Xenopus tropicalis: one gene and its partners. The protein of the gene in region 1 interacts with the protein of each later gene in a pairwise test. Links are inferred from orthologs where the notes say so. Each region holds a gene or a part of one and is shown on either strand. Other genes may lie near its edges. The genes, in order: tsc22d4, zmynd10, nrbp1 and mad2l1.

The links.
Region 2: the proteins of tsc22d4 (region 1) and zmynd10 interact in binary tests that used the Homo sapiens proteins (3 or more experiments, as listed by UniProt). The two-hybrid records come from large-scale screens. The link is inferred for Xenopus tropicalis from reciprocal best matches to the Homo sapiens genes TSC22D4 and ZMYND10.
Region 3: the proteins of tsc22d4 (region 1) and nrbp1 interact in binary tests that used the Homo sapiens proteins (3 or more experiments, as listed by UniProt). The link is inferred for Xenopus tropicalis from reciprocal best matches to the Homo sapiens genes TSC22D4 and NRBP1.
Region 4: the proteins of tsc22d4 (region 1) and mad2l1 interact in binary tests that used the Homo sapiens proteins (3 or more experiments, as listed by UniProt). The two-hybrid records come from large-scale screens. The link is inferred for Xenopus tropicalis from reciprocal best matches to the Homo sapiens genes TSC22D4 and MAD2L1.

The regions. Positions count from the first base shown.
Region 1 is NC_030679.2:151,479,759-151,487,236, forward strand, and holds part of tsc22d4 (TSC22 domain family protein 4), read left to right. Parts: intron 1-2,386; 5' UTR 2,387-2,397; coding exon 2,398-2,817; intron 2,818-4,228; coding exon 4,229-4,371; intron 4,372-7,176; coding exon 7,177-7,228; intron 7,229-7,478.
Region 2 is NC_030680.2:127,249,961-127,257,438, forward strand, and holds part of zmynd10 (zinc finger MYND domain-containing protein 10), read right to left. Parts: intron 5,604-7,478; coding exon 5,495-5,603; intron 4,632-5,494; coding exon 4,515-4,631; intron 4,107-4,514; coding exon 4,053-4,106; intron 3,602-4,052; coding exon 3,449-3,601; intron 2,679-3,448; coding exon 2,590-2,678; intron 2,306-2,589; coding exon 2,205-2,305; intron 1,012-2,204; coding exon 839-1,011; intron 723-838; coding exon 597-722; intron 1-596. UniProt on the Homo sapiens protein: Plays a role in axonemal structure organization and motility. Involved in axonemal pre-assembly of inner and outer dynein arms (IDA and ODA, respectively) for proper axoneme building for cilia motility.
Region 3 is NC_030681.2:162,079,394-162,087,582, forward strand, and holds the start of nrbp1 (nuclear receptor-binding protein), read left to right. Parts: upstream 1-2,721; 5' UTR 2,722-2,807; intron 2,808-2,888; exon of another isoform or gene 2,889-2,915; intron 2,916-2,939; exon of another isoform or gene 2,940-2,961; intron 2,962-3,051; exon of another isoform or gene 3,052-3,104; intron 3,105-6,169; 5' UTR 6,170-6,210; coding exon 6,211-6,402; intron 6,403-6,662; exon of another isoform or gene 6,663-6,693; coding exon of another isoform or gene 6,694-6,735; intron 6,736-8,189. UniProt on the Homo sapiens protein: Required for embryonic development. Plays a role in intestinal epithelial cell fate and proliferation, thereby involved in the architectural development of the intestine potentially via the regulation of Wnt-responsive genes.
Region 4 is NC_030677.2:71,053,622-71,061,860, forward strand, and holds the start of mad2l1 (mitotic spindle assembly checkpoint protein MAD2A), read right to left. Parts: upstream 4,152-8,239; 5' UTR 4,106-4,151; coding exon 4,036-4,105; intron 2,472-4,035; coding exon 2,325-2,471; intron 807-2,324; coding exon 689-806; intron 189-688; coding exon 85-188; intron 1-84. UniProt on the Homo sapiens protein: Component of the spindle-assembly checkpoint that prevents the onset of anaphase until all chromosomes are properly aligned at the metaphase plate.

The DNA of each region.
Region 1 (7,478 bases):
CTCCTACCCATAATCCACCCAAACCCCACAAACTCAGTGCTGGAATTGGGGTGAAAAAACAGAGGGATGCTGTGGAAAAATAGGCCCCACCCACTGCTGTAATAAGCCACACCCACCCATTACATTACATTACAGGGGGGGTTGTTTTGCCCTGATGTAGGAAGTGAAATTCTAAGACCATCTGCAATTGGTTTTCTTTTTTGTGGTTTTTGAGTTATTTCGCTGTTTTATTCAGCCGCTACCTGGTTGCTAGGGTCCAAATTACCCTAGCAGCCAGGCCTTGGTTTGAATGAGAGGCTGGAATTGGAATAGCGGAGGGCTTGGATACAAAGATGAACATTTGTTTTTGAGATGTCGGGGGTCAGCGACCCTCATGTAACTGCCGGACGGATTCAGAACGAGGCAAACCATTCAAAAACTATAAAGCAGAAAAAATAAAGCCCAACTGAAAAGTTGCTTAGAATTAGCTTCCAGCACATCTCACCTTTCCCCAGTTTCCCAAAGGCCCACAGGCCGCTAATAATGTGCGTTATTGGGCCCACTGGTGCCACGGTCACATGCTGTAATGTCTGCAACCTGATTGGCTGAATACTGAGCATTTCTATAAAAACGTATAACTTCCCATTGGCTAGGCGGGGGCTTACAGGGTTACCCCCACGACCCATTAGGCAAACCGCCCCTAGTTGACTGGGTGCCCCCTGCATACTCTGTGCCAAAGGTACCGTGGGGCCACCAGGAGCCGCACAAATATAACCCCCTGCTGCGCACAGTAAAGGAGAATATGAGTGCCAGGGAGCCTGAGAGCAGTGATTGGCTGTGCCAATTCCCCGGCCTTGAATTGTTTTTCAGCTTTTATCCTTTCATGTGATACCATAACACAGGCTATAACTCCCTGCACTGACTCCCCACGCTCTATTGGCCACCCTGTCACTGCCGGCCTTACAGTGCATCATGGGATGTAGTTCTTCTGTATATCCCTTAACCCACAGCAGCTCTTCCTCCCTCTTCTACCAATCACTGCTGCCTCAGTGTGAATATACAATCCTTTATGTTTATACCATATCCCTGCAGCCCCTCAGTGACTGCTAATATCCTTATCATTTACAGTAGGGGGTACAGTATCCCTTATAATACATGAGTGATACTCAGAGTTCCCTGTATAACTCAGCCTGCAGCCTTGTGCCTTTATATGGGGGGCACAGAACCCCTCAGTGACTGCTAATATCCTTATCATTTACAGTAGGGGGTACATTATCCCTATAATTACATGAGTGATACTCAGAGTTTCCCTGTATATACTCAGCCTTGCAGCCTTGTGCCTTTATATGGGGGGCACAGACCCCTCAGTGACTGCTAATATCCTTATCATTTACAGTAGGGGGTACATTATCCCTTATAATACATGAGTGATACTCAGAGTTCCCTGTATAACTCAGCCTGCAGCCTTGTGCCTTTATATGGGGGGCACAGAACCCCTCAGTGACTGCTAAATATCCTTATCATTTACAGTAGGGGGGTACATTATCCCTTATAATACATGAGTGATACTCAGAGTTCCCTGATAACTCAGCCTGCAGCCTTGTGCCTTTATATGGGGGGCACAGAACCCCTCAGTGACTGCTAATATCCTTATCATTTACAGTAGGGGGTACATTATCCCTTATAATACATGAGTGATACTCAGAGTTCCCTGTATAACTCAGCCTGCAGCCTTGTGCCTTTATATGGGGGGCACAGAACCCCTCAGTGACTGCTAATATCCTTATCATTTACAGTAGGGGGTACATTATCCCTTATAATACATGAGTGATACTCAGAGTTCCCTGCTTATAACTCAGCCTGCAGCCTTGTGCCTTTATATGGGGCACAGAACCCCTCAGTGACTGCTAATATCCTTATCATTTACAGTAGGGGGTACATTATCCCTTATAATACATGAGTGAATACTCAGAGTTCCCTGTATAACTCAGCCTGCAGCCTTGTGCCTTTATATGGGGGCACAGAACCCCTCAGTGACTGCTAATATCCTTATCATTTACAGTAGGGGGTACATTATCCCTTATAATACATGAGTGATACTCAGAGTTCCCTGTATAACTCAGCCTGCAGCCTTGTGCCTTTATATGGGGGGCACAGAACCCCTCAGTGACTGCTAATATCCTTATCATTTACAGTAGGGGGTACAGTATCCCTTATAATACATGAGTGATACTCAGAGTTCCCTGTATAACTCAGCCTGCAGCCTTGTGCCTTTATATGGGGGGCACAGAACCCCTCAGTGACTGCTAATATCCTTATCATTTACAGTAGGGGGTACATTATCCCTTATAATACATGAGTGATACAGTGTATAATATAAGGATATATTTCTCATGATATTTGGCAGGATCGCCTGCAATGAGCCTCGGCAAGAAGCGAAGTGGCTTCCAGATCACCAGTGTGACCAGTGACTACCAGCCCTCCTCCCCAGTTTCACCAGTAGCCGATGAGCGTTCTGCTTCCCCCACACCCACAAATGGACTACGCTCGCCCCCAACCTCTCGCTTTCGGGTGGTCCGACTGGACCAGGCTCCCCTAGGAGGGGGGCGGCGGTACAAGAGAGGCCGCTGGAGCTGTGTGGAATTCTACCACCCCGAGGTGGGGTCTACGTGCCGGGCTGGGGCAGGACACTCTCTGGATTCAGGGCTCCCCCGCGCCTCCCCACTCCGGTCCCCCTTACTTCTGTCCCCGGGAGCTGGAGGAAAGGGCCCTCAGGCCCCCAGGTCACAAGGGGCCCCAGTGCTGGGGGAAGGAACAGGCTCGGATATAAGGATTGAGGTAAGAGGGGTAAATACATGGGCTTTGATGATTCCCCTTCTCCCTCCCCATTTGTTTCTCCTCATTCCTTTGCTGTTAGTTTTGGCCCTCACACCTGGAGCCATTCCTTCTCCTGCAGCTTTCCTTGTGTATTTACCCCGGGGGCAGTAAATGTCCCAGAGGGAGAGGAGGGGTAAAAAGGGAGAGACAGTTTCCTCACTGCTATTCTCTGCTGAAATGCACTTACCCCCAACTGTAGGGTGAATGGGATAGGGACCTTAGATTGTAAGCTCACTGGGGCAGGAACTGATGGGAATGTGATAGGGACCTTAGATTGTAAGCTCGCTGGGGCAGGGGCTGATTGGGAATGTTGGATAGGGGACCTTAGATTGTAAGCTCACTGGGGCAGGGACTGATGGGAATGGGATAGGGGCCTTAGATTGTAAGCTCACTGGGGCAGGGACTGATGGGAATGGGGATAGGGGACCTTAGAGTGTAAGCTCACTGGGGCAGGGACTGATGGGAATGGGATAGGGGACCTTAGATTGTAAGCTCACTGGGGCAGGGACTGATGGGAATGTGATAGGGACCTTAGAGTTGTAAGGCTCGCTGGGGCACGGGCTGATGGGAATGTGATAGCGGACCTTAGATGGTAAGCTCACTGGGGCAGGGGCTGATTGGGAATGGGATAGGGACCTTAGATGTAAGCCACTGGGGCAGGGGGCTGATGGGGAATGGTGATAGGAGACCTTAGATTGTAAGCCACTGGGGCAGGGGCTGATGGGAATGGGATAGGGACCCTTAGATTGGTAAGCTCACTGGGGGCAGGGGGCTGGATGGGAATGGGATTGGGACTTAGATTGTAAGCTCACTGGGACAGGGACTGATGGGAATGGGATAGGACCTTAGATTGTAAGCTCACTGGGGCAGGGGACTGATGGGGAATGGGGATAGGGACCTTAGAGTGTAAGCTCACTGGGGCAGGGGCTGATGGGAATGGGATAGGGACCTTAGATTGTAGCTCACTGGGCAGGGCTGATGGGAATGGATAGGGACCTTAGATTGTAAGCTCACTGGGGCAGGGCTGATGGGTGGATAGGGACCTTAGATTGTAAGCTCACTGGGCAGGACTGATGGGAATGTGATAGGGACATTAGATTTTAAGCTCACTGGGACAGGGACTGATGGGAATGGGATAGGGGCCTTAGATTGTAAGCTCACTGGGGCAGGGGCTGATGGGAATGGGATAGGGACCTTAGATTGTAAGCTCACTGGGGCAGGGACTGATGGGAAATGGGATAGGGACCTTAGATTGAGTCAGTGGGAGGGGCAGCAGGTGAGTGGGAGGGGCAGCAGGAGTCAGTGGGAGGGGCATCACCAGGAATGGCTGCTTTGCGTCACACTAATTGGCCCCCCTCTCTCTCCCGTACAGCGCTCTCCAACACAGAGTCCTGTGGGGCCCCCAGTTTCTACTTTCCACCCTGAAACCCCCCCAGCCCAACGGGACACTGACGACTTTACTGAGCGGCTCATCTTGGCGAGATCCGTCTTCTGTGTGGGAGGGGACAACGACAGGTAAGGTCCAACTGTGCCCGCCTACAACCCAGCTCCTCCCCCTCCCTGGCATCTACCACTAATAGTACTCATGGGTAACTACTGGGGCCCTGAGGAACCCCTTACCCAGGGCTTATATATAGGGCCCCAGCCCCGGGGTTGTATATAGGGCCCCAGCCCAGGGCTTGTATATAGGGCCCCAGCCCAGGGCTTGTATATAGGGCCCCAGCCCAGGGCTTGTATATAGGGCCCCAGCCCAGGGCTTGTATATAGGGCCCCAGCCCCGGGCTTGTATATAGGGCCCCAGCCCCGGGCTTGTATATAGGGCCCCAGCCCACGGGTTGTATATAGGGCCCCAGCCCAGGGCTTGTATATAGGGCCCCAGCCCAGGGCTTGTATATAGGGCCCCAGCCCAGGGCTTGTATATAGGGCCCCAGCCCCGGGCTTGTATATAGGGCCCCAGCCCACGGGTTGTATATAGGGCCCCAGCCCAGGGCTTGTATATAGGGCCCCAGCCCAGGGCTTGTATATAGGGCCCCAGCCCAGGGCTTGTATATAGGGCCCCAGCCCCGGGGTTGTATATAGGGCCCCAGCCCCGGGGTTGTATATAGGGCCCCAGCCCCGGGGTTGTAATATAGGCCCAGCCAGGGCTTGATATAGGGCCCCAGCCCGGGCTTGTATATAGGGCCCCAGCCCCGGGCTTGTATATAGGGCCCCAGCCCCGGGGTTGTATATAGGGCCCCAGCCCCGGGCTTGTATATAGGGCCCCAGCCCCGGGGTTGTATATAGGGCCCCAGCCCCGGGGTTGTATATAGGGCCCCAGCCCCGGGCTTGTATATAGGGCCCCAGCCCCGGGGTTGTATATAGGGCCCCAGCCCCGGGTTGTATATTAGGGCCCCAGCCCCGGGGCTTGTATATAGGGCCCCAGCCCCGGGGCTTGTATATAGGGCCCCAGCCCCGGGGTTGTATATAGGGCCCCAGCCCCGGGGTTGTATAGTAGGCCCCAGGCCCCGGGCTTTTAGGCCCCGCCCGGGGGTTTGTAATTAGGGCCCAGCCCCGGGGTTGTATATTAGGGCCCCAGACCCTAGGGCTTGTATATAGGGCCCCAGCCCCGGGGTTGTATATAGGGCCCCAGCCCAGGGCTTGTATATAGGGCCCCAGCCCCGGGGTTGTATATAGGGCCCCAGCCCCGGGGTCTCATACAGGGACTATAGTTCTTGTATAACAGAGCTAAACCCAAGGGCGAGGGGGGATCCGGCATACGGCGGAAGGATACAGTGAGGGGGAAGGTACGGCCTAAGCACTGAGTTATTTTATTTACACAAGTTCTTTGCTCTTATTTCCCCTTTACAGTCGGGGCCCATAGTGTGAGGCTCAGGGATATTTCCCAGCAGCCCCCGGGGCCCGAGAGGAATGAGCTGCAGGAATTTCACAGCCGGACACAGAGCCTCGACATTTATTATCCATCTGTCACTTCCAACTGCAGAGCCTCTGCCCCCCCAGCCCCCCAACAGAGAAATACAGCCCCCCAAACAGCCCTGCAGAGCCTCTCCCAGAATCCCCCTGCCCCCCCAGCCCCCCAACAGAGAAATACAGCCCCCCAAACAGCCCTGCAGAGCCTCTCCAGAATCCCCCTGCCCCCCCAGCCCCCAACAGAGAAATGCAGCCCCCCCCAAACAGCCCTGCAGAGCCTCTCATGTTCTGCCTATCCCAGAATCCCCCTGCCCCCCCAACAGAGAAATACAGCCCCCCAAACAGCCCCTGCAGAGCCTCTCATGTTCTGCCTCTCCCAGAATCCCCCTGCCCCCCCAACAGAGAAATGCAGCCCCCCCAAACAGCCCTGCAGAGCCTCTCATGTTCTGCCTCTCCCAGAATCCCCCTGCCCCCCCCAGAGAAATGCAGCCCCCCCAAACAGCCCTGCAGAGCCTCTCATGTTCTGCCTCTCCCAGAATCCCCCTGCCCCCCCAGAGAAATGCAGCCCCCCCCAAACAGCCCTGCAGAGGCCTCTCATGGTTCTGCCTCTCCCAGAATCCCCCTGCCCCCCCAGCCCCCCCCAGCCCCCCAACAGAGAAATGCAGCCCCCGCCAAACAACCCTACAGAGCCTCTCATGTTCTGCCTCTCCCAGAATCCCCCTGCCCCCCAGCCCCCAACAGAGAAATGGCAGCCCCCCCAAAACAGCCCTACAGAGCCTCATGTTCTGCCTCTCCCAGAATCCCACTGCCCCCCCAGCCCCCCAACAGAGAAATGCAGCCCCTCCAAACAGCCCTGCAGAGCCTCCGTGTTCTGCCTCTCCCAGAATCCCCCTGCCCCCCCCAGCCCCCAACAGAGAAATGCAGCCCCCCCCCAAACAGCCCTACAGAGCCTCTCATGTTCTGCCTCTCCCAGAATCCCCTGCCCCCCCCAGCCCCCCAACAGAGAAATGCAGCCCCCCCAAACAGCCCTACAGAGCCTCATGTTCTGCCTCTCCCAGAATCCCCCCTGCCCCCCCAGACCCCCCAACAGAGAAATGCAGCCCCTCCAAACAGCCCTGCAGAGCCTCTCGTGTTCTGCCTCTCCCAGAATCCCCCTGCCCCCCCAGCCCCCCAACAGAGAAATGCAGCCCCCCCAAACAGCCCTGCAGAGCCTCTCATGTTCTGCCTCTCCCAGAATCCCCCTGCCCCCCCACAGAGAAATGCAGGGCCCCCTGAGAGATCCTTGCCATTCCATCACAGCACCCAGTTGCTCAGCGGGGCCTCTAGGGGCAGAATTGTGTATTACATTTACATTAGGAAATACAACTCACAAACCCTACAATAACAATCTCCCCTTTGTCTGTTTCTCCTCAGTGTTTCCAGCAACAGTTTGGTAGCAATAGACAACAAAATTGAGCAGGCCATGGTAAGTACCTGCCCCAACTGCCCTTCCAACTAACCCCATCTGAACTAGCAGTGTAACTAGCAGTGTCTGCCCTTCTGTGCCCTGTAGCTCCCTCTGCTGTCTCTTCTCTGTCACTGCATCTCTGCTCTTTGTCTCCCTCTGCTGGCCCTGCTTATACTGCACCTCCCCCACCACCGCTAATGTCTCCCTTTATCTTTATATATATATATATAACAGTCAACAGTAACAGTCACCCCGCTATAGTTCCAGG
Region 2 (7,478 bases), on another chromosome or scaffold:
CAATTTTGCCAAACAATAAAGTGTTTAAGTTTCACTTGAAACTGGGTGAAACAGGAAACAATGACGGCACTAACTTCCCCTTGAAAGTGTGTGAAATAGAAAACAATGATGGGGTTAACTTCCCCTTCAAAATGTGTGAAATCGAAGACAATGATGGGATTAACTTCCCCTTCAAAAGAGGTAAAGGACAGGCTGTCACTGACTATTCCAGTCCTTTACTATTCTAAGCTGCCATAGGACTCAATGGTTCTAGACAGCTTAAACCTGGCGTGCTTTTTGTCAGTCCTAAAAAATTCATATAAAGTTTTATAAATCTTGTTTGTTTCTCAACATTTTTGGGGAAAATACACAGAATCATCTCTAATTTTTTGAGAAAAAAATGAAAATCGTATACTGCCAAAATGCACATACATAAATCTCTTAAAAAACTAAACATAAAAAAAATTTGAACTTTTTTTCAGAAAACTTTAGTAAATGCGCCTCTTGTAGTGTCTTTCATATACTGTAGATCATTGGTCTATTGTGGTTAATCTGACTCATCTACCTCCACCAACCCTAAGCATATTGCAAGTGAAAACCATCATAGCATAGCGTACCTGCTCTATGATCAGTTCCTTTTTGGGTGGGGCTGGCTCACTCACAGACAAGTGGCTTAAGAAGCGCTGCAGTTCTACAAGATTTGGCAACTGGTCCAGAAGCACTTCAGTGAGAAAGGAACGAAGCTACAAATAAAGAAAGACAAAATACCTTGAGAAGTTAACATCTGTTTTTAGTCTGAGGGGTCAGAGGCCTGTTGGGAAGAATTTTACTTTCTACATATTATTTCTGATTGGAGTACCTTTAAGAGTTGCCCCTTGGTGAAGCTATTGATGTTATATTTCTGTTGGCACTCTGGCCTCAACAGGAGGTTGTATAAAGTTATCCAGGCTTGACCATCCAGCTTGGTCATCTTTAACTGGTCCTCAGCAGGTACAGGGTACCAGCGACCACCTTCATACTTCTGGAGCTGGCCTGAGCAACACAGAAAAAAGGTGTAACGTGTGAGGTAAATACACGTGCGATAAGGAACATTATAGCATAGTTGTGATAGCAAAGATATACTGAAATGTAGGGAAAAGTCCTGCTGCAGCTTCCAGTGTATATTGGAAAATACTCATCAACAGGTAGCAGTCCCCGTGTTGGCTGTATCTCTTACAAATATATTTACAAAAACCTGGAGAGTACACTTATTTGCAGTGAAGCAGTGTAGTTTTAATGAGACATCTTTAAGCACTACATGTTTCGCACCTGAGGAAGGCTGTTCAGCCGAAACATGTAGTGCTTAAAGATGTCTCATTAAAACTACACTGCTTCACTGCAAATAAGTGTACTCTCCAGGTTTTTGTAAATATATATGTGATAGCAAAGGGAAAAAGTACAAAGTTTAAAATAATGCACTGCTGCAAGATGAGGACACAGTAGGGCTTAGTTACAATTTGTACAATTGCAAGTGCTGGTGAACTAAGGGGGGCAAAACTGTGCCCAAAGGGCATAAACAGAGCACATATGCCTGTACCCAAGGAATGTACAAGCTGCACTCTTTAGCTTGAGATAGTTTAAATATCCAGCATGTAAGTACAGCTTACATAGGCGCACAACAGTCCTGTACTAAATGCCTACCTTTGCGCCTTGTGTCCAACTTATTACAGAAGGTTTACAGGCTGTGTAGGGGAACACCAAGCGCAACCCTATGCTGCGTATAGTAAATGCTTGCATACAAAGGCACAACTCTTTGGGCTCTGCTTTACTAACATAAGATTTGCACCTCTAGGTACAAATCTGGGGGGGGTGTGGCAGGGAAAGGCACCCCCTCAAACTTTTTTTGCAGTTTACTTCCCTGGTTGTAAATGAGCCATAGTGTAGTAATACATGACCTGTCTAACAAGGCCATTTATTGATGTTTAACTTTTTTTCTTTGTATTACAGGAGAATTAATTAGAAAATTAAGTAATTAAGTGATTTATGGCTCAAAGCACAGAGGAGCCTTGCGATACCACTGTCTTCAAAATATTCCAATAATAATCATCAATAATCAAAATGATTAATATTAATAATTAAGTATCATTAAGCTGCTTATTCTTATTAAATGAACCGCTATGTCTCTTGCAGGCCAATTTACATCTACACACTAGTTTGCAGCAGTGTAATGCACACCATATCCGCACCTTTTTGGCGCTGGGTCCAGGGACACTGATGCAGGAGTTCCACCAACAGACAAGGCAAGTTGTGAGTATTAAGGAGACGATTGGTCACACATAGTGGGAGGCTGAGGGGATAAAAGTTGCATTAATTCTTACAAATAAATCATTCATTGTAGGTCAAAGGCACATAGGACTATTCCCACTGTTTTGCCAATCATACCCATGGCAAAAAGCCGAAAATGCACCTCTATAGGCTTTTGTGGTAATGGTCACTGCCATGTTTTCAAGTGATTGCACATAAAGAGTCAGGTTGATTACCATGAACAGATCCATCCCCTTTGTACACTGCCCTAAAATAACATGATCTTGTATGCCAGCCTTTAGGTGTTCTGAGATTTTGCATGCTCACCTGTCAGTATGATCACTGATATATCGCATAACTGACAGGCATTTTAATGCAATGTCAAACTCCAGAGATTCAGCCTGCTGCTTTAGCTCCTAGGACAAATGTAGAGAAAATGTTAATTCCTTAAAAAACAATAGTAAATGTAAGTCTGCTGCAAAAGAGGGAATTTAGAGCACTATAAAAAAAATGTAAATAACACCCTGCTGCATTATAAATAAAATTAGTAGGGCTCATTTATAATGGATACAGATGCAAGTACTGGTGCTCTAAGTGGTGCAAAACTGCATGGAAAGGGCCCATAAACAGAACACTAATGCTTGTATCTATTGATGTTACAAGCTGTATTACTTTTACCTAGTTTCAACATCCTGAACACAGAGCACAGCACAGGCGCAAGATGGCCTTGTTGCCTTTGCACCTTGTGTGCACTGGCGCTCCTGCCTTGTATACAACTAAACAAGTTAGGGACACATTGAGGGCAACCATGTGCTGCTTATACAATATGCTGCACTGCATGCACAAGAGGCACAACTCGTGGGACTCCACTTTACCAACACTAAGCTTTGCATCTCTAGGCAACAGGTACAAATCTGGTGGGGATGGAAGGGAGTGGCGGTGCATTCCACATGTTTTTTTGTACTTTAGTCCCCTGGTTGTAAATGAGCCCCACTGCAGCAATACATTAAGTTTAATGTATAGAGAGTGTGCTTGGGACTGGAAGAGTCTTATATGTGGGGAGGGGGCTAACTATATTTTTAACTTTCAGCTGGTCAGTTCAGGCTAGTTTTTAGTATTTAAGTCACTGCATCTCTGTTGAGCAGTACTGAATTGCACATTCCATTTTTATTGCATTAACGCTCACCTCTAACGATGATGCTTCACTGGCAGTGTGGGAGAGAAGTCTGTCCTGGCTGAGTGTTTTCATATTAGAGCTTTGTGATGCTAACAGAGTCAGTTTCCTATGGCAGTAATCAATCAGATCCAGAGTAAGGTCCTCCGCAGACTCACATACTTCCTGCAAAACAGGAATAACTTATAACTAATTATATTCCTGCCCAGTGTGCATTTCATATACAAGCTGTTCTAAATGGAAAGATTTTTACTACCACATTTCTCAAGAAATTCAGAACTTTCACTAAATATCATCCCCTGTGTTCCAGCTGCATGCATGACACTCCTGGGAATCAATACATGACTGAAGAGTAAATATATGCCACAAATGAAAATACAAGGAAAATATCCAGAGATGCCAGACCTAACCTCACAATATATAATTACACTGCATATTTTCTATGCAAAGTTAGAAAACTTTAGCACAGAATAAAGTAATTTATTTAAACTGCAATTAGGAAAAGTGCCTATAAAAGCTTCAACATGATTTCAGCAGCAGTGTAAAAATTCTCTCTAAAAAGTGCTTTCTAAATAGGTAGATATACTCTAAATATGGACCAGAGTAAGGGTTTTACCTTATGGTAAAAGATTGTCTCCAGTAGGTTAATGATAGTTGCTTCATGATGTATCTGTAGGGACATAAATAAATGATTAATTAAATGCTCTTGACCTTCCACTGGTAAACTGGAGAACCCCAGAAATAACATTACAGTTATCTACGAATTCTAGAATGGTCATTCTTCCCATGCATCATGCTGTTTTCTATAGTTTGTTTACAATACAATAAGCAAGTCATTTTAGACTATGTAACATGGATATACACTGAAAGGCTTAACTTGTTGAAGATTGTCTTCTTTCAACCCAACTTAACTATGTACCTATTATGCATGAGCTGTTTGTTTAGCAGTTGACTAAGACTGGAATACTGGGAACAACTCTGTGTATTGTGGCTGGGAACTCCCAATTAATTGTCCCTGCATGCCTGCAATAATAACTGTTCAGGAAAAAAGGTGTGTCTTGGTTGCTTGCACTCTTACCACCATATAGAGAGGGAAGGTGCTCTTGGGCTGGAAGTCTTGCAGTTGACACAGTACAGGAAACACCTTAATCTTCCAGATCTCCACACTGATCAGTTCATGAATTAAAACTGAAATCTGATAAGAAGAAGCGAAAGGATTTTAGAATAATATTGTAACGCATGTCCTTTTTTATTACAAATGATACCTTCTTCCTAATATCCTATGGCTCTCTGTGCTTTGCCTTGTGTACCAAAGTGCTAAAGACAGTTGTAACACATTTAACTCTGTTTATAAAGCCAAAGGGATATCTTTTCTATTCCTGTTAAGTATCACATATACTTTTTCATTCTTGGGCAAATGCCACATGGGCTGATTCTCAGTCTGTGTTCATCAACAGGCAAAGAATTAGCCCTGTGTGACATTAGCCTTAGAATGAAAACATATACATGATACTTTGGGCATCAGCCCCTCCGTTTGCATCAGCCCTCTCTGTGTCTGCACCTGGAGCCATTGAGTAGGCCCGGGTATAAGCACACGGATTGGAATTTGGTGCCAAAACATGTGAAACTAGCAAGAGGAACATGGCTGACACAATGTTAATCTTTTCTGCAATCAAAAATGCAATTAATATTTGTCCAGTGCTGGCAGAACTTACAATTACTTTCATGTACAATATGAGCTTAAATAGCTCAGCTGATGCAGATTCCTTTTGTATTGTAAATGTTATAATCTCTCTATTGCTAATATATTGCTATGCCTTAGTATAACTCGTGCAGTAGAAGTCTGAAAGCAGCTTCCTGTTCAACAGAACAGGAAGTGAAGCATACACAGGAAACACATTTATCTGAAAGCATTGCTTTTTATAAAAAACAGCACAGGGACATCAATGGTAATATAATAAATTGTTCATATATTTTGTTTAGTATAAAAACTAAGTGTTCATTGCATTTTACCTATCATTTCTTTTAAGCAATGTTAACTATCACAATTGGTTTTACCTTTGAATGTGTCACAAGCAGGTCCTTAATAATCTCCTCCTGCCCTGCTGAAGCATTGAGGATCGCTTGCATATTTAGCTTTTCAATGTATTCATGCTGTTTAAACCACCTGGAGAGATTAGATGTTATAGCATTAAAAGGTGCAAATGTGGTGTAACTAAATTTTACTGGACCCCACAAAATCTTTAAGGCCCCCAAACCTTGGAAAGATAATCACATACATTGAAACTACACATTCTTTAGAATCCCAGTGGGCCCTATATACTCCTCTCTCTCCTTGTTACATATTTAAAAGAATAGTAACGTGTTTTTCAATCTGTTTGGCTGGTTTTTTTTTAGTATCACTAAAAACAATATATCACTAGTGTTACTACAATACAGTAGACCCTAGGGGGCCCGGGGTAGAGCAGGGTATAGACATTCCCAGGGTCTGCTGTATAGTTCCACCTAGGGTTGTACAGGTATGGGATCCATTATCTGGAAACCCATTATCCAGAAAGTTCCGAATTACGGAAAGGTCATCTCCCATAGACTCCATTATAAGAAATAATTCTAATTTTTAAAAATGATTTCCTTTTTCTCTGTAATAATAAACCAGTACCTTGTACTTGATCCCAACTAAGCTATAATTAATCCTTATTGGAGGCTAAACAATCGTATTGGGTTTATTCAATATATAAATGATTTTTAGCAGACTTAAGAGATCTGGAGATCATGGAGATCTAAATTACAGAAAGATCCCTTATCCAGAAAACCCCAGGTCCCGAGCATTCTGGATAACAGGTCCCATACCTGTACCAGCCAACTGGTAAAATACCAGACAAGGCCAGGGCCGGTATTACGAGTTTATTGCCAATGACTTAATTACCAGAATAGAAGAGAAACTGCTAAACTATGTGCTAATATACATACTACCACCTAATATGTCTGTATAAGATTGAATATTATTCACGCACCGCCTTCTAGCTCCACAGTAAATACATGTTCAACAGCGGAAAATAAATTCAGACAAGATTGTATCTAGGACTAAATGACTATCCGAGTGCTGCCACTAGGTGTCAATCTAGGACCTCCTTATGCCTGGGGTGTAATTGTAAACTTTTTGATATGTACAATAAAATATTATTGTATAGTGGGTTGTTTGAGTTGCAATGAACAGGAAAGTAAATAGTGCTGCACACAGGAGCTCCAGAAATAAGTAAATTTATGAATCCTGATGTGTACATTACCATTTGTTTGCAGCAGGGATTGATCCATTTTAAGGGAGTCTTCCTTGACGATATGAGTTTATAAATTGAATATATTTATGCATACACATATCTATAAAATTGCTTGTGTATATAACAGACAGGTTAACTCTGTCCCCTCCAATACCTTAGCAATAAGCCTATTACCTTTGGGCCAAGTATTGTAAATATATATATATATACAGGTATGGGACCTGTTATTCAGAATGCTCAGGACCTGGGGTTTTCCAGATAAGGGATCTTTCCGTAATTTGGAACCTCATAACTTAAGTCTGCTAAAAATCATTTAAATATTGAATAAACTAATATTCTAAACTAATAGTATTGTTTTTCCTCAAATAAGGATTTATTATATCTTAGTTGGGATTAAGTACAGGTACTGTTTTATTATTACAGAGAAAAGGGGAATCACCTTATAAAATTAAAATTATTTGCTTATAATGGAGTCTATACGAGATAGCCTTTCCATAATTCAGAACTTTCTGGATAACGGGTTTCTGGATAAGGGATTCCACACCTGTATATACAGCCATACATATATTCATACATTTGCTTCTTTGTATATAACTGGAAAATTAACTCTCTGGAAATAAGTCTATTACCCTGTGCCAGGTTTCACTGAGGATCTTCTATGGAAAGATTTTGAACTACCGTTTCCTTCAGAAATTTCCCAATAGTTCCTCTTGACCGATGCATGCGCAGTAGAGTGAATTCTGACATATTACTATTCTGTGTGG
Region 3 (8,189 bases), on another chromosome or scaffold:
GAGGGGGCAGAAGAGCTGAGGGGGCAGGATAGGTGAGGAGGCAGGAGAGCTGAGGGGGCAGGACAGGTGAGGGGGCAGAAGAGCTGAGGGGGCAGGATAGGTGAGGGGGCAGGAGAGGTGAGGGGGCAGGACAGGTGAGGGGGCAGGAGAGGTGAGGGGCAGGAGAGGTGAGGGGGCAGGAGAGCTGAGGGGGCAGGAGAGCTGAGGGGGCAGGACAGGTGAGGAGGCAGGAGAGCTGAGGGGGCAGGACAGGTGAGGGGGCAGAAGAGCTGAGGGGGCAGGATAGGTGAGGAGGCAGGAGAAGCTGAGGGGGCAGGACAGGTGAGGGGGCAGAAGAGCTGAGGGGGCAGGATAGGTGAGGAGGCAGGAGAGCTGAGGGGGCAGGACAGGTGAGGGGGCAGGAGAGGTGAGGGGGCAGGAGAGCTGAGGGGACAGGAGAGCTGAGGGGACAGGAGAGGTGAGGGGGCAGGAGAGCTGAGGGGGCAGGACAGGTGAGGGGGCAGGACAGGTGAGGGGGCAGGAGAGGTGAGGTGGCAGGAGAGGTGAGGGGGCAGGAGAGCTGAGGGGGCAGGAGAGCTGAGGGGGCAGGACAGGTGAGGAGGCAGGAGAGCTGAGGGGGCAGGACAGGTGAGGGGGCAGGAGAGGTGAGGGGGCAGAAGAGCTGAGGGGGCAGGATAGGTGAGGAGGCAGGAGAGCTGAGGGGGCAGGACAGGTGAGGGGGCAGAAGAGCTGAGGGGGCAGGATAGGTGAGGAGGCAGGAGAGCTGAGGGGGCAGGACAGGTGAGGGGGCAGGAGAGGTGAGGGGGCAGGAGAGGTGAGGGGGCAGGACAGGTGAGGGGGCAGGAGAGCTGAGGGGACAGGAGAGGTGAGGGGGCAGGAGAGCTGAGGGGCAGGACAGGTGAGGGGGCAGGACAGGTGAGGGGGCAGGAGAGGTGAGGGGGCAGGACAGGTGAGGGGGCAGGAGAGGTGAGGGGGCAGGAGAGGTGAGGTGGCAGGAGAGGTGAGGTGGCAGGAGAGGTGAGGTGGCAGGAGAGCTGAGGGGGCAGGAGAGCTGAGGGGGCAGGAGAGCTGAGGGGGCAGGGCAGGAGAGGTGAGGGGGCAGGACAGGTGAGGGGGCAGGAGAGCTGAGGGGGCAGGAGAGCTGAGGGGCAGGAGAGCTGAGGGGGCAGGGCAGGAGAGGTGAGGGGGCAGGACAGGTGAGGGGGCAGGAGAGCTGAGGGGGCAGGAGAGGAGAGGTGAGGGGGCAGGAGAGCTGAGGGGGCAGGAGAGGAGAGGTGAGGGGGCAGGACAGGTGAGGAGGCAGGAGAGGTGAGGGGGCAGGAGAGGTGAGGGGGCAGGAGAGGTGAGGGGGCAGGAGAGCTGAGGGGCAGGACAGGTGAGGGGGCAGGAGAGCTGAGGGGGCAGGAGAGGAGAGGTGAGGGGGCAGGACAGGTGAGGGGGCAGGAGAGCTGAGGGGGCAGGAGAGGTGAGGGGGCAGGACAGGTGAGGGGGCAGGACAGGTGAGGGGGCAGGACAGGTGAGGGGGCAGGAGAGCTGAGGGGGGCAGGAGAGGAGAGGTGAGGGGGCAGGAGAGGAGAGGTGAGGGGGCAGGAGAGGAGAGGTGAGGGGGCAGGAGAGGTGAGGGGGCAGGACAGGTGAGGGGGCAGGAGAGCTGAGGGGGGCAGATAAGCAGGACAGGGGAGGGGGCAGGAGAGCTGAGGGGGCAGATAAGCAGGAGAGGAGAGGTGAGGGGGCAGGACAGGTGAGGGGGCAGGAGAGGAGAGGAGAGGGGGCAGGAGAGGAGAGGTGAGGGGGCAGATAAACAGGAGAGGTGAGGGGGCAGGACAGGGGAGGGGGCAGGAGAGCTGAGGGGGCAGATAAGCAGGAGAGGAGAGGAGAGGTGAGGGGGCAGGAGAGGAGAGGGGGCAGGAGAGCTGAGGGGGCAGGAGAGCTGAGGGGGCAGATAAGCAGGACAGGAGAGGAGAGGTGAGGGGGCAGATAAGCAGGACAGGAGAGGAGAGGTGAGGTGAGGAGAGGAGAGGGGGCAGATAAGCAGGACAGGAGAGGAGAGGTGAGGGGGCAGGAGAGGAGAGGGGGCAGATAAGCAGGACAGGGGGCAGATAAGCAGGACAGGGGGCAGATAAGCAGGGCCGGCCCTAAGGTGGGAACTCCAGGTGACAGTGACCAGTTACAGGGGGCACACAGCCAGCTGAGAGCTGAATTGTACAAGTATAATTAGCGCTGCGGCCCCCCTGGAGCTGCCCCCCCCCCCTGGAGCTGCCCCCATGCTAAAGTTGAAAGCAGAATCCCCCCTGCAGGTAAGTGCCGTTACGGGACTAGGGGGTAGGACATGAGCTCTTCCCGGGGCAGGATAGACAATTTGCCCGGCCAGGCACAGGGTAATGGGGTAGTTCTGGGCTAGCAGACATTTCCCAGTGAGTACTGGGGTACAGCCGGCGGGAAGGGCAACAGAGGCAGAAGAAGGTGCAGTTACCCTGCCCGGGACACTATGGCCGCCAGGGGGCGCAGCAGCTGGCCCAGGGAAGTTGCTGTCAGACTGCGCTCTCACACTAACTGGGTCATTTTTTACAAACTAACGTGTCAGTTCCGCCAATCAGCGGCTCGCTAGCGTCCTGAGCCGCCGCTGATTGGCTGCTGTGGGAGGGAGTGGGTTCGGCTGTGCGGGCGGAGCCAGGCCCTGAATGGCTGGGCTTGGTCATTCGCCATAAGGGAGTCCGAAGCGTCACATCCGGGTACTGAGTAACCCAGGCCGGGGATTCTGGGCCTAGGACTGGCCTTCCTGCACGTAACACTTCGCGCACGGTAAGGTACGTCCCGACGGGCTGGGCGTGTGGGTGCGGGACAGGGATATAAGGAGCCCCGGGGTCTGTGCTGAGACTGAGGCAGCAACAAGTGGGAGCGCTGGGGTGCTGCGCGTCAGTTTAGCTTCTGCTGTGTTATAGGCGCAGGGGGGAGGGGAAGGTTTGTGGCGGGTAACGTTGGGCCCTAGGGCGGTAGGAACAGGGCTTAGTGGGGCCCCGGGGTGACGCAGGCAGAGATGGGGGGCGGGTACATGGGATGGGTGGGGCTGGGGGTGACACACAGGCAGCTGAGACAGAGGCAGGGTGAGTGGGGGATTGGGGTGAGAGGCAGGGGTGAGTGGGGGATTGGGGTGAGAGAGAGGCAAGGGTGAGTGGGGGATTGGGGTGAGAGGCAGGGTGAGTGGGGGATTGGGGTGAGAGAGAGGCAGGGTGAGTGGGGGATTGGGGTGAGAGAGAGGCAGGGTGAGTGAGGGATTGGGGTGAGAGAGAGGCAGGGTGAGTGGGGGATTGGGGTGAGAGAGAGGCAGGGTGAGTGGGGGATTGGGGTATTGGGGTGAGTGGGGGATTGGGGTGAGAGAGAGGCAGGGTGAGTGGGGGATTGGGGTATTGGGGTGAGTGGGGGATTGGGGTGAGAGAGAGGCAGGGTGAGTGGGGGATTGGGGTATTGGGGTGAGTGGGGGATTGGGGTGAGAGAGAGGCAGGGTGAGTGAGGGATTGGGGTGAGAGAGAGGCAGGGTGAGTGGGGGATTGGGGCGAGAGAGAGGCAGGGTGAGTGGCGGGATTGTGGCGAGAGAGAGGCAGGGGTGGGTGGGAGGATTGGGGTGAGAGAAGGCAGGGCGAGTGGGGGATTGGTGTGAGAGAGAGGCAGGGTGAGTGGGGGATTGGGTGAGAGAGGCAGGGTGAGTGGGGATTGGGGTGAGAGAGAGGCAGGGTAAGCGAGGTGAGGGATTGGGGGTGAGAGAGAGGCAGGGTGAGTAGGGGATTGGGGTGAGAGAGGCAGGGTGAGTGGGGGATTGGGGTGAGAGAGCAGGGTGAGTGGGGGATTGGGTGAGAGAGAGGCAGGGTGAGTGGGGGATTGGGGTGAGAGAGGCAGGGTGAGTGGGGGATTGGGGTGAGAGGAGGCAGGGTGAGTGCGGGGATTGGGGTGAGAGAGAGGCAGGGTGAGTGGGGGATTGGGGTGAGAGAGAGGCAGGGTGAGTGGGGTATTGGGGTGAGAGAGAGGCAGGGTGAGTGGGGATTGGGTATTGGGGTGAGAGAGAGGCAGGGTGAGTGGGGGATTGGGGTGAGAGAGGCAGGGGTGAGTGGGGGGATTGGGGTAAGAGAGAGGCACGGTGAGTGGGGGATTGGGGTGAGAGAGGCAGCGTGAGTGGGGGATTGGGGTGAGAGAGAGGCAGGGGTAGCGAGTGGGGGATTGGGGTGAGAGAGAGGCAGGGGTAGCAGGTGGGGGATTGGGGTAAGAGAGGCAGGGGTAGCGAAGGTGGGGGATTGGGGGAGAGAGAGGCAGGGGTAGCGAGGTGGGGGGATTGGGGTGAGAGAGAGGCAGGGGTAGCGAGGTGGGGGGATTGGGGAAAGAGAGAGGCAGGGGTAGCGAGGTGGGGGGATTGGGGTAAGAGAGAGGCAGGGGTAGCGAGGTGGGGGATTGGGGTAAGAAGAGGCAGGGGTAGCGAGGTGGGGGATTGGGGTGAGAGAGAGGCAGGGGGTAGCGAGGTGGGGGGATTGGGGTGAGAGAGAGGCAGGGGTAGCGAGGCTGGGGGATTGGGGGTGAGAGAGAGGCAGGGGTAGCGATGTGGGGGATTGGGGTGAGAGAGAGGCAGGGGTAGCGATGTGGGGGGATTGGGGTGAGAGAGAGGCAGGGGGTAGCGAGGTGGGGGGATTGGGGTGAGAGAGAGGCAGGGGTAGCGATGTGGGGGGATTGGGGTGAGAGAGAGGCAGGGGTAGCGAGGTGGGGGGATTGGGGTGAGAGAGAGGCAGGGGTAGCGAGGTGGGGGATGGGGTGAGAGAGAGGCAGAGGGTAGCGAGGTGGGGGATTGGGGTGAGAGAGAGGCAGGGGTAGCGATGTGGGGGGATTGGGGTGAGAGAAGAGGCAGGGGTAGCGAGGGTGGGGGATTGGGGGTGAGAGAGAGGCAGGGGGTAGCGAGGTGGGGGGATTGGGGTGAGAGAGAGGCAGGGGTAGCGAGGTGGGGGGATTGGGGTGAGAGAGAGGCAGGGGTAGCGAGGTGGGGGGATTGGGGTGAGAGAGAGGCAGGGGTAGCGAGGTGGGGGGATTGGGGTGAGAGAGAGGCAGGGGTAAGCGAGGTGGGGGGATTGGGGTGAGAGAGAGGCAGGGGTAGCGATGTGGGGGGATTGGGGTGAGAGAGAGGCAGGGGTAGCGAGGTGGGGGGATTGGGGTGAGAGAGAGGCAGGGCGGTAGCGATGTGGGGGGATTGGGGTGAGAGAGAGGCAGGGGTAGCGAGGTGGGGATTGGGGTGAGAGAGAGCAGGGTAGCGATGTGGGGGATTGGGGTGAGAGAGAGGCAGGGGTAGCGAGGTGGGGGGATTGGGTGAGAGAGAGGCAGGGGTAGCGAGGTGGGGGGATTGGGGTGAGAGAGAGGCAGGGGTAGCGAGGTGGGGGGATTGGGGTGAGAGAGAGGCAGGGGTAGCGATGTGGGGGGATTGGGGTGAGAGAGAGGCAGGGTAGCGAGGTGGGGGGATTGGGGTGAGAGAGGCAGGGGTAGCGAGGTGGGGGGATTGGGGTGAGAGAGAGGCAGGGGTAGCGAGGGTGGGGGGATTGGGGTGAGAGAGAGGCAGGGGTAGCGAGGTGGGGGGATTGGGGTGAGAGAGAGGCAGGGGTAGCGAGGTGGGGGGATTGGGGTGAGAGAGAGGCAGGGGTAGCGAGGTGGGGGATTGGGGTGAGAGAGAGGCAGGGGTAGCGATGTGGGGGGATTGGGGTGAGAGAGAGGCAGGGGTAGCGAGGTGGGGGGATTGGGGTGAGAGAGAGGCAGGGGTAGCGAGGTGGGGGGATTGGGGTGAGAGAGAGGCAGGGGTAGCGAGGTGGGGGATTGGGGTGAGAGAGAGGCAGGGGTAGCGAGGTGGGGGGATTGGGGTGAGAGAGAGGCAGGGGTAGCGAGGTGGGGGGATTGGGGTGAGAGAGAGGCAGGGGTAGCGAGGTGGGGGGATTGTCTTTGTCTTTTTTTTACATTATCTCGCATTTTCATGTGTATATCGGCTACATGTACTGCACCCGAGTGTATCTCATGCATTTGGGTGCAGGCACTTACCAAAAATATCCGCCCTATGCCTCGTGTGGCATTAGCCTAATGTCTCTGGGGGGGGGGGGGGGGAGGCATTGTGCTGAGCTGTGCCTTTAATCTCTGCCCTTTCCTCCCCCAGGTGCTGTTCCTTTAATTTTCTGAATATTCACACAAAGGGCAATGTCAGAAGGTGAAGGCAAAACTGCCCCCAGCACAGGCTCAGACCCCAAGATGGAGAGTGGGGTTTCCATGTCACCGCCTGTTAGTGCCCCCCCTGCACCACCACAGGAGGAGGAAGAGGAGGAGAGTGAAGATGAGTCTGAGATCCTAGAGGAGTCTCCTTGCGGGCGCTGGCAGAAGAGACGTGAGGAGGTGAGTCCTGGGGCAGGGGGGCATGGTGTGCCACAGGGGGCGCTGGCAGAAGAGACGTGAGGAGGTGAGTCCTGGGGCAGGGGGGCATGGTGTGCCACAGGGGGCGCTGGCAGAAGAGACGTGAGGAGGTGAGTCCTGGGGCAGGGGGGCATGGTGTGCCACAGGGGGCGCTGGCAGAAGAGACGTGAGGAGGTGAGTCCTGGGGCAGGGGGGCATGGTGTGCCACAGGGGTGCTGTTTGCTTGGCGCTGGCAGAAGAGACGTGAGGAGGTGAGTCCTGGGGCAGGGGGGCATGGTGTGCCACAGGGGGCGCTGGCAGAAGAGACGTGAGGAGGTGAGTCCTGGGGCAGGGGGACATCTGGTTTGGATAAATGGGGCGCGCTTCCCCCTTAATGTGAAAAAAGTCTTAATTAATAATTAATAGTTCTACTGTACATAAATACACTTACTGGGGAGCCAGCGCCCCCCCAATAGTTCTACTGTACATAAATACACTTACTGGGGAGCCAGCGCCCCCCCCAATAGTTCTACTGTACATAAATACACTTACTGGGGAGCCAGCGCCCCCAATAGTTCTACTGTACATAAATACACTTACTGGGGAGCCAGCGCCCCCCCAATAGTTCTACTGTACATAAATACACTTACTGGGGAGCCAGCGCCCCCCCAATAGTTCTACTGTACATAAATACACTTACTGGGGAGCCAGCGCCCCCCCAATAGTTCTACTGTACATAAATACACTCACTGGGGAGCCAGCGCCCCCCCCAATAGTTCTACTGTACATAAATACACTTACTGGGGAGCCAGCACCCCCCCCAATAGTTCTACTGTACATAAATACACTTACTGGGGAGCCAGCACCCCCCCAATAGTTCTACTGTACATAAATACACTTACTGGGGAGCCAGCACCCCCCCCAATAGTTCTACTGTACATAAATACACTTACTGGGGAGCCAGCGCCCCCCCCCCAATAGTTCAACTGTACATAAATACACTTACTGGGGAGCCAGCACCCCCCCCAATAGTTCTACTGTACATAAATACACTTACTGGGGAGCCAGCACCCCCCCCAATAGTTCTACTGTACATAAATACACTTACTGGGGAGCCAGCGCCCCCCCCAATAGTTCTACTGTACATAAATACACTTACTGGGGAGCCAGCGCCCCCCCCCAATAGTTCTACTGTACATAAATACACTTACTGGGGAGCCAGCGCCCCCCCAATAGTTCTACTGTACATAAATACACTTACTGGGAGCCAGCACCCCCCAATAGTTCTACTGTACATAAATACACTTACTGGGGAGCCAGCGCCCCCCCCCAATAGTTCTACTGTACATAAATACACTTACTGGGGAGCCAGCGCCCCCCCCAATAGTTCTACTGTACATAAATACACTTACTGGGGAGCCAGCGCCCCCCAATAGTTCTACTGTACATAAATACACTTACTGGGGAGCCAGCGCCCCCCCAATCGTTCTACTGTACATAAATACACTTACTGGGGAGCCAGCGCCCCCCCCAATAGTTCTACTGTACATAAATACACTTACTGGGGAGCCAGCGCCCCCCCAATAGTTCTACTGTACATAAATACACTTACTGGGGAGCCAGCGCCCCCCCCAATAGTTCTACTGTACATAAATACACTTACTGGGGAGCCAGCGCCCCCCCCAATAGTTCTACTGTACATAAATACACTTACTGGGGAGCCAGCGCCCCCCCCAATAGTTCTACTGTACATAAATACACTTACTGGGGAGCTAGCGCCCCCCCCAATC
Region 4 (8,239 bases), on another chromosome or scaffold:
GGGTGCTATAAATATTTTTTTTTTTACAAACTTGTGTATATAGAGGAGCAAAAAGCACTTTTCCAAAAGATTATATATACTCACATGCTGTTTCCAGCAAAGGAAGGAAAGTTACAGTGGCAGTAATTTGCCTTATAACTGATCGAATTTCTTCTTGAATAACCTTTTGCGACTTTTCACGAACAATACTGAAATTATAAAAAATTAAATACTAAATTAGATTGGATACAGGTCAAAGTTGCAGTGTTGTGTCTTCTTTCCTAGTTAATTCTAAGTAATTTTGTATGTGCTGGCTTCTTTTGGTCATTGAACACCTTTATTGATTTACAGTGAATTGCAATTAAAGTTACAATACAATTAATGTCCTTTTGCAGTTTAGTCTGTTAGCTGTGAAATGCCTTCTCATCAATGCTGTCTACTACGGTCTTTATTTAAGTAGTATGTGTTCAAAGACAAACAATGTCCTGTAGAGTGCAACAGGGTATACTGCTCCAAGGTAATTTTCCTTATGTGGAAGTGATTTTTAACAATACTGAAATGGTTGGTTTAAAGTTTTCTGGAGACTTTGCAACAGTGTCATTTCCCAAGATTTTTTTTTTCTTTTTTATAGTTTAATATGTATAAATAATGGATAACGTTAAACCTTTAATATTGGCTCTAAAGGGGGAACAAGAAAAAAAAAACCTACCCATCTTTCACAGTTTTGTCACACTCTATGTCAAACTGCCAGCGTTCAAGAATTTCATTGCTGTCGATACTTGTTATCACAACCACAAGCTTCTGTACCTGGCATTTGTACAACCAATCTAATAAAAGAAAAAAATAAATAAATTATTGGCCTGCCTAATATACATACAAACGGTACAAACAGGAATTAAAGGAGAAGGAAAGTCTAAGTCACTTGGAGGTGCCAAAATGTTAGGCACCCCCAAGGGACTTTAATCGTTTACCTTGTACCCCGGGCTGGTGCCCCTGTTAGGAGAAAAAAGCACCAGCCCGGGGTAGCTGTAGCGAGCGCTTCCTTCTTCCGCGTTTCTTCTGTGGCAAAATCCCTGGGCATTAGAATGAAAAGCCGACTTTGTTGTTAAAGTTCGGCTTTTCACTCTTCTGCACATGTGCAGCGCGCCAACATGGAAGGAAGCGCTTGCAGCTACCCCGGGCTGGTACAGTTCTCTCTTAACAGGGGCACCAGGTAAGCGATTTAAGTCACTTGGGGGTGCCTAACATTTTGGCACTCCCAAGTGACTTAGGCATTCCTTCTCCTTTAAAAGGTTGAATTTGAGCAATACAGAGTTATTAAAATCCTTGGGTGGGTATCACATTTTCAAAATGACACAAAAAACAAGCAGCTTATATTGGAAATGCATTCCTATGTTCAAATTTAGAAAAAAAAAAAAAAAGAAAAGAAAAAAACCCTCCCACTGTAGACTTATCTCTAATAAACATCCACTCAAAAGGTTCAGTATGGTGTGGCAGCTTTAACAAAGATGACCTAATATAGTCCAGTTTAACAGTAAACCAACTGCCTTACAAAAATTGATTGAAATTTGATCAGCTGATGATCACAAATACCCCCTGTACCCAAATGTCCCATCAATTTCTGTTTTAATAGCTTAAAGGAGAAGGAAAGGTAAAATCACCGGGAGTGCCAAAACGTTAGGCACACCCCAGTGACTGTAAATGCTTACCTTATACCCTCGGCTGCTGTTCCTGTTAGGAGAAACCTGCACCAGCAATCTTATTCCTCTTGTCATTTTTTTCTTTATGATCCCAAAGCCAACAGAACTGTGCATGCGCAAGTGGTGAGAAGACATAAGAGAATCGCTCTCTCAGGTACCCAGGGCCAGTGCAGCTTTCTCCTAACAGAGGCACCCCTCAGTGATCTTACCTTTCTTTCTCCTTTAAGGGTAAGAACCCATGGAGTGAGTTACTAGCCCAAGATAGATCTCTGCTATCGCGGGCATGTAACTGCTCTGAAGTCGCACCAAGGAGGAGGAAAACCGAAGCAACGCGAAGGGCTTCCTATTGTTGCCAGTGGAAAGCCTTTTCAACGGTGACTAGCCCACGATAGCAAAAATCTCTCTCGAGCGAGTTACTTGCTCTGTTGATTCTTACCCTTAAGACCACATTAACAATAAGAGCATGTGTATGTTGAAGTAAAGTCTGGCCCAAATTAACACATACCATATTTTCTCACATATAGCCTTGACATATCTAGGATATGTTAGTGAAAATGGAAAGGTACCCACAACTATTCAAAAACAAAACCATACAGAAAGATAAAAAAAATAAAGATATGATCATGTATAAAACCCAATAAGAACCTTTAAGCTGATCGGTAACTTTATTTAAATACTCTTTCAGCCCTGGGTCTGTAGTGAGTAGCAGTGTAAGTCCATACTTCTGGATACGTGTGAACGTTTCTGATGGATAAATCCCACGCTGATATAAAATACTATTGATGCCACAAACTAAGGAGAAAAAAAAACAAACAAAAATTAACATATGATCAAAAACAGACTGATTAATATCCTGATTTTTGGGACCTGTAGTTTTCTGGGTAAGGGTTTTTTTCTATAATTGATTTTGCTGAAAAACATTTAAACATGAAATAAACCCAACTAGATTGTTATAGATATGAATTTATGCAGCTACGGTTATTATTACAGTGAAAATACAGGTATAGCATCCAGAATGCTTTGGACATAGGGTATTTGGGATAAGGGACCTTTCTGACATTTGGATCATCATACCATATGTTTGCAAAAGTTATTTATACATTAAATAAACCCCATAGGATCATTTGGTCTCAAATATGGATTTGTGTAGCTTAGTTTCCATAAGGTACAAGTATTTTTACCTCACAAAGTATAGCCTTACTGCAACAGAGCTAAGGTTTTCACTGACAGTTATTTTCTTAAGCTGTAAGGCACTTCTATGTTAGGAGTGACTAATTGTGGCCACCATACTGGATGTCCTCAAAATAGTGTTTTGACTTGATCCTAACTAAGTTGCATAAATCCATATTGGTGACAAAACTACCCTATCCAGTTTTATTGTTAACACTTTTCTTAGTTCACTTAAGATACAGAGATTCAATTGACTTTATTTAATCTAGTGCCAAGTAATTGCTTGGTAGCGTTACAGTGTATGCAAATAGCCACCCCTTACAAAAGGAGCATGATCTTGGCCAGCCAACACAAATGTAGCATTGTAGAAAAAAAAGTTAATTTGTGCTTGCTGTTTTTCAAAATTTTAAAGAAGCACTAACCCCCACATACTCTTTTTTTTTTTTAAATTGTATCCACCTACAGCAGCTCCCCTCCCCTCAACTGCATCACTGCCAATGTCTACAAAATCCAGGCCACCACAATATCAGTTGTCTAATTGCAGAGTTGTGCAGCAGGGCTGGTGGCTGCCATCTTTGGAAGCAGGAGTATGCACACTGGAACGATTTGGCCTATGACTAAGTGCCCAGATGGAGCACAAAACACATAGCTTTGTTGTTCTTTGAAACAGATCTATTACATATTTAATAAATAGCAATTTTAAGCAGTATAGTTCTACTCCAGTCTGGTTTTGTGCCAACCTGTCTCTCTCTAAGAAGATATTATGCAAACAGGAATGATTTGGCCTATGATGAAGTGCCCAGATGGGACACAAAAACACATAGGGCTTTGTTGTTCTCTGAATAAGATGTATTGAGTTCTTAATAAATATCGATTTTAAGCAGCATATTGTGCCAGTCTCTCTCTCTAAGAGGATATTATGCTCAGTGGAGACCAATTAATGCCTGACTTCCAAATCACATGCTCTATCTGGCCAAAGCTGCAGCTTTACTCAGCAAGCAGATAGTGGGGTGGACTTTTACACACTGTCAGCAAAATATTTTCGTGTAGTCCCTCCTTTACTGCATGAGTCCAATTGTCAGTGCGTTTTCTATCCATGTCCCCATATCAGCCATGCCAAAGGCTCAGTTATTAGCTACTGCTATTGCAACCAATAAGGGTTATCTTCCCCTCCCCAACCACTTACAGAAAAACTCCGACACGATTTCAGCGCTACCCTTCAGGGTAATCCCTTCACGTGTTAGCTGACCGGCCATCGGACCCTTCTTGTAAAACTGAATTGGTTCCAAAAGTTTTCAGGTCCTGATAGTACTAACGCGCCTTCCACTTCAAACCAACGGCGGACTCGTACTCTGATTGGACAACTGTCACATCATGTGCAGCCTGTGGTCCAATTAAAAGCCAGCCGGAAAGATGCGTTCTGCGTGACGTCGTATGTTCGCCATCATTACTGAGGGCAAATCTTAAAATTTGCGGTAATAGTGTAGCTCATATCAACCAATCAAAAGTTAGCTTTCCTAATTTGCTTGCAGCTAGAATAACTGAATCGAATCTGCGTTTGCTACGTGTTTAGTTTATTGGCGCAGTGTTTATCGATATTTGGGCAGTTGTCGGTGATATTAAATAAATGGAGCATATGTTCGCAGTTCTGTAGACGTCTTCCGCAGATATATTTAGAACATGGTATTGTGATTTGTAAGAGGTACGGCTCATATTAGTGGGCGTGGAGCGCGTTGGACTTGGATGTATATAACTTTAACATTTTTACGATATAGCATACAGGAACAACAAATTATGCAGAAATTTTATTTCAAACGTATACACACTTAGGGCACTGGAAAATACATTTATGACTTTAAAATTCACATCGTTCTCGATCCCGTTGGAGCATGCAGTTCCCTGTCACATACCCACCTATGGGCAATTTCATAGGGAGCTATTACCCTGCTCTTCTGTTTTTGGATCATGGGTTGGGTTACCAGTGCCACTGTTTGGTAAAAAAAATAATATTCCTACCCATTTGGCCTGGTATCAAGGCTGGTAAAATACTGGCCAGGTGGCGACATTATGCCTGGGGGGCAGGGACCCATGATCATGCATACTCCTGACAGGCAGTGCTGTGGGAACATTTCTTTGCTACATTTTTGTTTGCTGGTTTCTGCACGTTCCTGGTCGTCTCTGTCTTTTTACACCATCAACACCAACTGCGCACATTCGTCCTAAACCTTTCTATCTTGCTGCTCCTTACAGTGGATATAAAAAGTCTACACACCCTTGATAAAATGTCAGGTTCCTGTGCTGTACAAAAATGAGACAAAGATAAATCATTTCAGAACTTTTTCCACCTTTAGGGCTCTGGCACACGGGGAGATTAGTCGCCCGCGACAAAACTCCCTGTTCGCGGGCGACTAATCTCCCCCAGTTGCCTTCCCCTGCCATCCCACCGGCGAAAATGTAAGTCGCCGGTGGGATGGCACACGCGGCGGCGCAATTTCGCGCATATCGCCGAAGTTGCCTCGCGAGGCTTTTTCAGCAATTTGCGCGAAATTGTGCCGCTGCGTGTGCCATCCCACCGGCGACTTACATTTTCGCTGGTGGGATGGCAGGGGAAGGCAACTCGGGGAGATTAGTCGCCCTCGAACAGGGAGTTTTGTCGCAGGCGACTAATCTCCCCGTGTGCCAGAGCCCTTAATGTGACCTATAAACTGTACCACTCAATTGAAAAACAAACTGAAATCTTTTAGGTGGAGGGAAGAAAACCAAAAAAACTAAAATAATGTGGTTGCATAAGTGTGCACACCCTTAAACTAATTCTTTATTGAAGCACTTTTTGATTTTATTACAGCACTCAGTCTTTTTGGGTATGAGTCTATCAGCATGGCACATTTTGACTTTGCAAGGTTTGCCCACTCTTCTTTGCAGAAACGCTCCAAATCTGTCAGATTGCGAGGGCATCTCCTGCGCACAGCCTTCTTCAGAACACCCCACAGATTTTCAATTGGATTCAGGTCTGGGCTCTGGCTGGGCCATTCCAAAACTGTAATCTTCTTCCGGTGAAGCCATTCCTTGGGTCGTTGTCATGCTGAAAGATGAAGTTCCTCCTCATGTTCAGCTTTCTAGCAGAAGCCTGAAGGTTTTGTGCCAATATTGACTGGTATTTGGAACTGTTCATAATTCCCTCTATCTTAACTAAGGCCGAAGTTCCAGCTGAAGAAAAACAGCCCCAAAGCATGATGCTGCCACCACCATGCTTCACTGTGGGTATGGTGTTCTTTTGGTGATGTGCAGTATTGTTTTTGCCCCAAACATATTTTTTGGAATTATGGCAAAAAGTTCAACCTTGGTTTCATAAGACCATAACATAACACATAATAATGTGTTTTTGCAAAATGTAGCCTGGCTTGGATGTTTTTCTTCATAAGAAAAGGCTTTCGTCTTGCAACTCTACCCCATAGCCCAGACATATGAAGAATACGGGAGATTGTTGTCACACTGCCAGTACTTGCCAGATATCCCTGCTGCTCCTTTAATGTTGCTGTAGGCCTCTTGGTAGCCTCCCTGACCAGTTTTCTTCTCGTCTTTTCATCAATTTTGGAGGGACGTCCAGTTCTTGGTAATGTCACTGTTGTCCCATATTTTCTCCACTTGATGACACTTGATGAGTCTTCACTGTGTTCCATGGTATATCCAATGCCTTGGAAATTCTTTTGTACCCTTCTCCTGACTGATATCTTTTAACAATGAGATCCCTCTGATGCTTTGGAAGCTTCTCTGTGGACCAAAGCTTTTGCTGTGGGATGCGACTACAAAATGTCAGGAAAGACCAACAAGAGCAGCTGAACTTTATTTGGGGTTAATCAGAGGCACTTTAAATGATGGCAGGTGTATGCTGACTCCTATTTAACATGATTTTGAATGTGATTGCTTAATTCTGAACACAGCTACATTCCCAGTTAGAAGAGGGTGTGCACACTTATGCAACCACATTATTTAAGTTTTTTTGGTTTTCTTCCCTCCACCTAAAAGATTTCAGTTTGTTTTTCAATTGTGTGGTACGGTTTATAGGTCACATTAAAGGTGGATAAAGTTCTGAAATTATTTATCTTTGTCTTATTTTTGTACAGCACAGGAACCTGACATTTTATATCCACTGTACCTCTGGAACTCCATCCCTGAATCCCTCCATAGGGAACACTCACTAACTCTCTTTAAGAGAACTAAAACATTATTTTGCCTAGTCCTGCACTTAAGTACAAATGCCCATACCTGATGCACTCTTACCTTACAATTTGTGCTTGTATGTTACGCAACCACTTAGTCTTTTAAACAGACAGTTTTCAGATTTTGTCATTTTACTGACATTTTTTTATGAATTTGCCTTTAGCTCTTAGTAAATCTGTCAGTGCCACCAAACCCAGTCCCACAGCTACATGAGCCTTGGAATAAGGATTGTACCAGCAGGATTTTGCATTTCATTTGCCATTTGTCATTTCACTTTGGGCCATTTCCTGAAGGGTTAATTTACTTTGCCAAGGAAAACTATACATCATTTTTTTTAGGACAAGCTGGCCTTTCTAATGTTGTCTATACAGGTATCGGACCCCCTTATCCGGAAACCCGTTATCCAGAAAACTCTGAATTACAGAATGTTGATAAATGGAGGATTCATTCTCCCTACTTATTAAACAGTCCCCCTAGTTATATAGGTCTTGAGCAAACAGCAGGCTTCTCAGTTAGGATACAGCAACTGCCACTATGTAGCAAATAAAAAACATCCTATAAGCGGGAGGAGGAAGGATAGCCTAGTGGTAGGGAGACCGCCCTGTGACGACGGGGTTGTAGGTTCCATTCCCTCCACCGGGGTCCGCCTCGTGACTGCCCTGGGCACAGTCACATAACCTCCCAACATCGCAAAGATATCAGCCTTTAGAAATGGGCTGGTGGAGCGTTGTCCAGATTTTTTTTCAGTGGCATTTACATTTCCCCACAAATCCTCTCTTTGCATTTTCAAGGGAATTGTGTTGTCCATGGCAGCTGAAAGCAACTGTCACAGGAAAAATCTGTTTCTTATCACTGGCAATAAGAAGCCAATTGATAGGTGAGCTGAGCTGCAGCACAGGGCCAATGGGCCACCAATGCCGCTAAAATCAGCGAGTGCATTTTAGGGTTATTTTTGGGAATTTGATTAGGATATATGGAAATAATCATAGAACATGGAGATATTCCCTGAGCCGCATTAAAAGTGCCCAGCTGGTATGTAATACAGGAGATATCCTGTGAGCGCTATCTGTTATCCCCTGCTGGTATATGGTACAGGAGATTCAAAAAAAAAAAGTGGAGATGGATTTGTGGGATTTTCCACCTAATTCACAAACCTCTATCTCCACTTT